2 linked regions of the Xenopus tropicalis genome follow. The protein of the gene in region 2 interacts with the protein of the main gene of each other region in a biochemical or structural test. Links are inferred from orthologs where the notes say so. Each region holds a gene or a part of one and is shown on either strand. Other genes may lie near its edges.

Region 1 (4,402 bases), on a different chromosome or scaffold from region 2:
ACAACAAAAAAACACATATTTAAAAATGTGAGAATTTTGTTTATATTGGTGTTAGGATTTGTTAGATGCTCCTGTTTCTTGCCGAACAATACTGTTCATCATGTTTCTATGGAAACAAGACTAGCAAATTAACAGAAGTGTTAATCCTTGGCATAAATTAATGTAACATTGTAACAATAATGTAATTTTTTTGTGGGATTTATTTATTTTGCACCGCCAGTTTAAAGAGTCACGGCACCACCTTCTGTCATTTTGGCTGACTCGACAGTCGATAGAAAATTAGGTTTGTGAGAAAAAGAAAGCCTTGCTGCTCTTGTTGTTGTTGAAGCTTTATTTTGTATCCTACCAGACCATTCCTCCTCGTGCTGGAGTTATCAGTGCTCCACAAAGCCATGTTCGGCCTGTTCCTGCTCGAACAACCCCTGAGGTCCCAAACAAGCCCACCGAACCTGCAAGAGGTATAGTACAGTCTTAACTTCCTATATACATACATATTTTCTAGTTGGGCACCAAACACAGGTATTGGTATGTTCCTGATGAGATGTGGTGTGCAAATGGCAGACCTATGGTTGCTGCTGGACGCAAATTCCTGCTCATCTAAAGAAAAATTGTGATGTCAGTTTATACGCTAGGCCTATGGCACATGGTGCATTTTCTCCACTGGAACTCTATTTTGAGGAAGGTGGAATAAAAATTGTTCCATTTGCTTTACCATCTTTTAACCAGATCCAAATGTAAATGGCAGAAGTAACACATAAAAGGGTTTGTTCACCTTTAAATAAACGTTTGGTGTCACGTAGATATTGATATTCAAATATAATTTTCAATCCATTTTCATTTTTTATTTTGAATGGTTCTTTGGTTATTTAGCTTTTTGTAGCTCTTCAGTTTGGTATTCAGCAGCTATCTGGTTGCTAGGGTAAGTAAGAACCCTAGCAACCAGACAGAGATGGGAATATGAATAGGAGAGAGCCTGAATAGAAAGACAAGTAATAAAAAGTAACAATAGCAATCAAATTTTATCTTTGACGAACATTCGTCTTTGACTGCTGGGGTCAGTGACCCCCATTTGAAAGCTGGAAAGGGGCAGAAGAGGAAGGCAAATCATTAAAAAACTATAAAAAAATAATTAATGATAACCAACTGCAAAGTTGCTAGGAATAGGCAATTCTTTAACTGTTCTAAAAGTTAATGTAAAGGTGAACCACCTCTTTAATTGGCTATAATAGCTCTATAGCATATTTAAACTAAATGATGTCCCATATTTTATGCATTAATGTGTTGGTTAATCAACTTAATTATATCTGGCTATGTGCCCTTTTAGGTGTTCCGTTACTTCCTGAGCCCTTGAAGCCTCAACCTGCGGCTCCTCTTCAAACCAGTCCAAATTCCCAACCACCCTGCCAAAAACTGCCTGAACCTATTCTACCTACAGCAGTACAGGCCGCATCCCAGACTCCACCCTTACAGCAAAATCTAGACCCTCCTCCACTCCCTCCTCCAAGAAGCCGCTCCTCCCAGAACCTGCCCACTGACCAAAATGCTTCTCAGCAGGTAAGTGTCTCTGCTTCATGGTACATTGTAAACCAAGAGAATTCGTACAGACTTCATACTATATCAGGCTGTCGTTCATCAGCAGGAAATTGCTATAGTACTGTAGTCGGGTATCCAAAGGAAGACACCAGGATGTTTAATTTGACATTAGTTCTTCAGATATTCTGCTTACTTTTTTAAATCTTTGTATGGGCAGTTAAGCAATTCTGTTGCCCACATATGTAATAAAAGGCACAAAGTATGAGTTTGAAACAAATGCATCTCTATGTAGGAAAAAAAGAGCAGTTCCAAAAGTACAGGATATTGTATGGTTATTTGACATTTTTCTAACTGACTTGTTTACTAACTGCACCAGAAACAATAAGCAGTTCCAAAAGTACAGGATATTGTATGGTTATTTGCCATTTTTCTAACTGACTTACTAACTGCACCAGAAACACTGCATCACATATAGAGCATGGGAGGGGGGGGGAGGGATAGGCTCCCTTTGTTTTTGTTTTTTTTCTTCTTTCAAACAATTTAGTAGACAAAGTATTCTGCATGTTAAGTCTGGATCCTGTTCACCTAATTTTATTCTTTTAATATCTTTTAATGTCTTTTTATCACAAGCAGGAGCAACCATCAGGGTAACAGGTACCTGACTAATTTACCCATAATGTTGTGCAATTCACCCTAGTTAGTTCCATTACTGATCGACTCATATCGGCTTTCAGCGTTTGTCATGCCTCGGAAAATGACCATGTATCTTATGTTGGCTAGTACCCATTTCTTCCTTGCATCTGCAAATGATTTTTTAATAAAAATGAAATGAATAAAAGTGGCCAGTCACTGAGTTTCACCTGAAAGGGGAAATAAAAATATCCTCTCAAAAAAAAAACTTCTACCAATTCAGTTTCTTTATTTACTGGCCCCATATAAAAGTTTTGGAATACATTATCTGGAAAGCAGACTTATAGGATGTTCTGGAAATCTGTTATTTTACCAATTCATACTAAATTTAGGTTGGGATGCACCAAATCCAGGATTGGGCCAAGAATCTGCCTTTTTCAGCAGGATTCGGTTTGGTATTTGGAATCTTTTACAAAAGATTTGGGGTTTGGCCGGATCCTAAAATTGTGGATTAGGTGCATCCCTACGTTTAGGTAACATTTACTGCTGTAAATAGCATGTGCAGCCGCTCGAAGACCATAAGCAATGTGTATATAATGCTTCAGCTAAAAGCACCCTAGGGAGAGCTCTGCACCCTCACAATGGCAGCTCCATAAGCAGGAACCCATATTGGGCCACACGCATGTACAATAGGAGCTAGTGCTCCTGGCCGCTTATTGTACAATGTATGAACAGTCAATATGCTCCCTGATTCCACATCATGAACTGAGGCTTTTGTGTACCCTCCCACCCATAATAGGATGCAGAGCACTGGCTAGAGTGTTTCTGTTAACCTTCTCCTCTAGTTGCAAAAAAACTTCTTTTTTGTGCTAGGTGCCCTTTGAAATAAAATTAATGTGTTTTAATATATATGCCTGTGGGTTGGTTTTTTTTTAATTTCTAAATTAGCTTTTAAAAATTCCCTACTCCTCTCCTTATCAGCCCCATGCCTCTAAGGGCAGTGACACACGGAGAGATTAGTCGCACAGTGACAAATCTCCATTGTTGCGGGCGACTAATCTCCCTCAATGCCATCCCACCAGCTAGAATATAAATCGCCGGTGGGATGGCACTGCGATGTCCCACAGTTGCCGAAGTTGTCTTCAGAGGAAACTTGACGCATATGCCATACCACAGGCGACTAATCTTCCCGTGTGTCGCTGCCCTAAGTAATTTAATGTAAACCTATTGTGAGAGGGTACACATCTGGCCTAATGTCTTTATAGAAAGATACAAATCATTATGTGCAAACAGCATCAATACAACAAACAGCTTGCTTTTTGCAAAGGCAGCTATAGTCTTAAAGTGGAGTAATCTACTGAGGCCAGTTAGATGGTCAATTCAGTTATTACCACTGCTTTAGGGCAATAAAAGCTAGCTAATGATTGGCTCCCAGGGGCACACTTTGCCATATTACACCATGGTGTTTAATTGGATATTAGATGTGACAATCACAGGCTACTGACAGTCACTCTGGATAACCCATGGTTGGGACCAAACAATGGGCTTCTCAATTAATATTTGATAAATCAATGGGAAAGACTGAAATAAAATAAGGCATCAGGCAGTAAATGTGGTTCTTTTGTTAAAGGTTTAGCTGTGCCCTACTCAGTAGAGTTGCTTAATGATAGTTTTTTTTTTTTTCTGGGTTTGTCTCTAAACTGCAACTGGTAAGTTTGGTACTTACCGCACTAATATAATGTACTAGTGTAACAGAAACATTGAGATTTTGCACTAATCAGGTTTTTTATTTAAAAAAGGACTGGCCATAAGTTACTAACTGCATATTTCATTACGCTACTTGCATGATATTGCATGATATATTGGTACAATGATCTAGAAGCATTCAATTAATCACTAATTTGTCACCATATAACCTGCTGTAGGAACACTAAAGCTAAAATACAAACTGCTCCTATGTACCGTCCATGCTACAAATCATACGCAATATATATATATTCATTGTGTTTTGTGTTAGCAGTTCCTTTTGCCACAATTCCCCGTAGGTTTTTCCTAGTCCATTTAAAACACACAGACAGTATCATGTATCAGATGGCAGAGGAAGACTTTTGCCTGCAGCTTATTAATTGGACTACAACAAAGGAGATTCTAGGTTTGGATATTGTCTGTGTGGTTTATCAGCTTCATTTACCTTAGAGCTATGTTTTGTAGCACTGGCCTTTAAACTGATAGTACAATT
Region 2 (4,929 bases):
TAGGGGTATATTTACCATTCTGTGTAAAAAGTGGAGTGAAACATTACCGGTGATGTTGCCCAGGGCAACCAATCAGCAATTAGATTTCAACTGCTATGGCTGCTATGAGCAACATCACCGGTAATGGTTTACTCCACTTTTTACACAGCATGATAAATATACCTCTAAGGAAGGGATGTATAGTAGAAACCAGTATTTATTAGCAATCACAGGGGTGGCCACTGATCAGCTAGGGATTTCATCTGTGGGTACTATACAGGTGACAACGAAGAACCCCTATTTTTCAAATCTAATTTTCCCCACCCTTTTTAACACCCAGTAGATAAGCGTTCTAAATGTACAGTATTGATATGAACTATAATTCCTGGAAATGTAAGTCCAGCATTATGCATGTTACAAGCAATGTGTGACAATTATTTAACAAATATTGAACCACTACAAAGTAATGTTTTATCACACAGTCACCTTTCAGCATAGTTCAAGCACCAGTAATGTAGTACACACGTAGCACAGGGTGTTTCAGGTTACCCTACACTGTTATGGGATGCCTGTGCAGTGAAATTGTCACATCTCTCTGGGGACCTCATCCTACTATTTCCAGTACACTAGCTCTCTACTGTATCTTGTGGTTAAACATGTGCACCTTGCAATAGCATTTTTTCCCTTTTTTACATTAAGTTTATTGAATTATTTAACAACCAGAAACAGTGAAATGACAAAGATGCTATGCTTATGATTATGCTGTGAGGTTTTGCCCCCTAGAAGAGCCCAAAGCATAGTAAAGTGCCCAAGGCTAATGGTCAGTTAGTTTGAGATTTGGGGAGTGCTAACTTGCTTTCCTAGATATCCCCTAAAGCCTAGACTGATAGCCAATGAAGGTACCTAATGTAATTGATTTACTGAATATTGTTGTAAATATAGTAGAATGAGTGATATGGTTCAACAAATGTATAAGCTAAGTATTAGCTAAGCAGGGCTTGAACCCAAATAATTTGAACATTGAACAGCAGCATCAAATTTGGGAGTGGGGGACAGACTAGAAAGACATTTAATTTAAAGAGAATGTAAGTTTTAGTAGACTTAAGATAGGAGATCCAAATTACGGAAAGACCCCTTATAAGGGATACCCCAGGTCCAGTGCTTTGTGCTTGGCAGTGATGTATGCATTGGGGACAGACAGCTAAAAAAAAAAAACTGTGTCACAGCCGGGCCCCCTTTAAAGCGAGGATATCGTCCGGGCCGGCACAACAGTACCCCCTGTGCCCCACTGATGGCGGCCCTGCACTCACATACATAAACTATATATACAACCACTAATACTAACTGTAGATATTAGTATCACAATAGCCTTGGATATTCTGATTGTTAAAGAACTCATCCAGGCCCCTCTTAAAGGCATTAACAGAATATGTTTCCTATCTGGTTTTATAGCGAGAAATATTTGCACCCAGAAGGTGATAGAATCCCCTGATGCGCCGCCACTTGGGGGAGGCCCCACACAGGGGAGGGCAGGTGGGAGGAGCCAGGCGGGCTGCCTGCTGACGTCACGGTGTCCCTGCATTAAGGCGGCAGCAGCATCACAGGATTACTGCCATCCGAGCAGGAGAGGAGAAATTCCCTTGCAGTCCCGAGCGAGGCCGGCCATCTGCACCTCTCACCCGGACACCAGGCAGCAACAACAGCAGCAGGAGGGGACCCGGCCATATTGCAGCATGTCGGTAGCAGGGCTCAAGAAGCAGTTCCACAAAGCCACTCAGGTAAATCAAGCGATTTCATGGCTGCAGCCCCCTGTCATTCTGCAGAGGGGTCCTTCCCTTTTCCCTGTCGCCCTGGCTCTTGCCTACATTATTTTGGGAACAACGACTATGACACGGATTCATCTGTTCAGCAGGTTTCGGGGCATTTGTGCAAGGCGAGCAGCGCTCTGGCTGTGTAAGGGTTAACCCCCAGGGGCATCTCCAGGCTATTTTTATCGCTGCAATTGTGATTTGTTGCTATATGGAGTGTGTGCATCAATACATCTGATTATATGGGTGTAATTGCTAGAAATCCCCCCCTCCCCCCCATAATAGATGTAAATACTAGCGCAGGATCCGGGGGTAGGCTGGAATTGATACTCTGCTTTCCCATAATATATATCCCATGGGAACCCCCACATGACTGTAGTAAGGATGGGGCTTGGTACCCCACTGGCTGACTGATAACCATGATACACACAATAAAACTTCAGCATGCCATGGGTTAAACAAAAGACAATGCCAGCTGTCATGGAAATCCAGGTCAAAATGAAATGTATTGAGGTAACTCAGTAATCTGCCTCATCTTTGTGGTTTTATTTCTATGGTGATGCACAGGCAGTAAATGCAGGGGAAAGCTGTGATCCTAGCAATGGTGATAAAATGCAGCAGGGTTATCTCTCTGTCTCTGTGTTGGAGGCGTGCAGCAGCTCTCCTGTGTATCACAGCACACTTGGATAAAATGGAGATTAGGAGATAGGCACAGCATAGAGGGATTACTAACTGCTGAAGCCAAATCATGATCTTAGATTTAGGATTTACATCAGTTTGTCTGCAGTCAGTGTTCACACAGAAATTCTCCCATAGAGGTCACCTCCTCATCCCTACTGCTGCCTGCAGCCAAAAGCTCCATGCAGAGCTATCTGATATCAGCTGCATTATTAAACAGGTTGGGGAGGTCTCCTCTCTCTCTCGGCTCTTCTGCAGGAAGGATGTGATATTGCAGTTCTGTTTTTTTAATCCCCTCTCATAGGGACACTAGGACATGATTTCAAAGTTACCTTTAATTAGGGAGTTTAAAGCCTCTATTATTGCTATTGTTTGCCTCAAGCCTTTCACTGTATATGCCGTAATTTTCAGCATCACGTATAATGACTAAAGCAATATGCTTTATACCTGCTGTGTAATAGCATTTCTCATTAGTTTTTGCACATTACCTGGTTAAGGTTGCTACCGGCTGCTATTACACATACCTAGTTGGTAAAATACTGACTCTGCCAGTAAACCTGCAATACCGGTTCTGACCTTTGTCATTTCTAGTAAATGTAGACTCTCCTGTAGGTACACCACCAGCCTGCCCAGTTATGCCCCAATCAGGCCTATTTATTTGCCCTCTTACAACCAGCTTCCCCTGATTCAGGAAAAGTTATTGCTATATTTTATGCTTGCTTAATGGAATCAGTTTCTTGGATTCTTGGTGACCTAATTTACTTGCTCTTTGGCAAACAACAAAATCTCACACTTGCTTTTTTGGAAGGAATTCTAAATATACTTTCAGGATCAGAGTTGCAGGGCTCCAACAAAAAGCCCATTTTGTATTATAATAAAAGGAGTAATGTGATGACATAACCCTGTTAAATGCACCCTGAATTAATCATCCAGGGAGCAATAGAAAACTTATCTTTGCACTCAGTGGAATAAATACCATGAGAGAAAGGAATACAATCTGCACCAGGATCTGCCCCCCAGCCTCCCAATGGCCCAGAGCCCTGCACATCCAACAGTGGCATATATAGTATCTGTTCTTAGAAAAGGAATGCAGGGGCCCTTCCCATGTTATTTTCCTTAAGTAGACCAAAATATTTATAGGGCAACTAGCATAAGGCAAGATATGACCAATATTATGTACAAGGCTGCTGTACATGCCTGTAGGTACAGATGACCTCTAAGGATTTAGTCCCCTATTTTCATTGCTGGTGGCATCACTGGGCATGCATGATCTGCTCTAGTCACGAGTAATAACTCCAGCATGCAGGCCACACTGAATACATGCATTGCTTCTGTCACTAGGAAAAGAGCTGACACAAGATGAAGGAAAACTTTTCATTCATGGCTCTTCATTGTCATAGGGCCCATGTACCCCTAGGCTGGTACGACTCTTTTAAGACAAGTTGTGAAGCCCCCCTCGCCCATGTCTGAGTGCAGGAGTGGTGGCAGAGGGGGTTCTCAGTTCGAAGATAGGAAAAGAAGCTGCCTTGGGGCTGGTATGGTAAAACCTAGGCATCTAGTACATTATTTACCAAGTGTTGATTTCTGTCATCTGTCACTACATTTTATTTTATTAGAAAGCCTGCCCAAATGCAGGGGTCAAGTGTAGACACTGAAATTAAATAGTTAATAGCTGATCCATTATTGAAAAATATTTTAGAAAGCCCTTTAATTGTGACTACATTTGTATAACTGTACATCAACTTCAACCAAGTTGCATTGCACAGTCTGTTTTTATTTGGTGTGGGTTTTAATATAAAATATTCACTGGCTGAAATTCATATGAATCTTCGACTGTGTTGTGGAAGGTTTGTAAACTTGAACAAAATAAAGGAATAAAAGGTTTAGAGGAGTTTATCTGAAAGCTCCAAGGGTAAAATTCATCAATAAATTTTTTTTTGGTTCAGTTTTCTTGCTGAATCAGCAAAACAGCCGACATGCAGTTTACTTTTTCCTGATGGGAAGGTTAAATTAACAGCACATCAATATCTGAATGACTGAATTACTTTCCATCAAAACCCTACTGACCCATGAGTACATCTCTAAATGTATAGTAACATTCTTAAAGGAGCAGGCACCTTTACAAACATAATTTCATTTACTACACCATACATAATGTCTTCATTTTGTAATGTATTATAAAATGTAGGTTTTTAAAAACAAATTAGTTTTATTTTCCTCCCCCATTTTAATTTGTTAATTAGGTTAACTGCCTTTTAAACTGTTAATGTTAAAATTAGATACATTTCTCAGGAGCATTTGAAAAATGTCAGCAACAAATGTAATAGTTATTATGTTGCAGACTAAAAGCCCAGGAAGTATGCTTCAAATGTAACAACTAATGTATGAAATTGTAGCAGTTTAAAGGGTTGGCAGTCTGGTTAGCAGAGCTGCTGGTGGAAAACATAGGTAGGGAAAATTAAAC

The links.
Region 1: the proteins of sh3gl2 (region 2) and synj1 form a complex in vitro, tested with the Homo sapiens proteins (2 studies listed by BioGRID and IntAct, with this or other methods). The link is inferred for Xenopus tropicalis from reciprocal best matches to the Homo sapiens genes SH3GL2 and SYNJ1.

What each region holds. Positions count from the first base shown.
Region 1 is NC_030678.2:15,168,047-15,172,448, forward strand, and holds part of synj1 (synaptojanin-1), read left to right. Parts: intron 1-349; coding exon 350-458; intron 459-1,324; coding exon 1,325-1,554; intron 1,555-2,163; coding exon of another isoform or gene 2,164-2,184; exon of another isoform or gene 2,185-2,187; intron 2,188-4,402. UniProt on the Homo sapiens protein: Phosphatase that acts on various phosphoinositides, including phosphatidylinositol 4-phosphate, phosphatidylinositol (4,5)-bisphosphate and phosphatidylinositol (3,4,5)-trisphosphate. Has a role in clathrin-mediated endocytosis.
Region 2 is NC_030677.2:118,225,065-118,229,993, forward strand, and holds the start of sh3gl2 (endophilin-A1), read left to right. Parts: upstream 1-1,679; 5' UTR 1,680-1,712; coding exon 1,713-1,757; intron 1,758-4,929. UniProt on the Homo sapiens protein: Implicated in synaptic vesicle endocytosis. May recruit other proteins to membranes with high curvature. Required for BDNF-dependent dendrite outgrowth.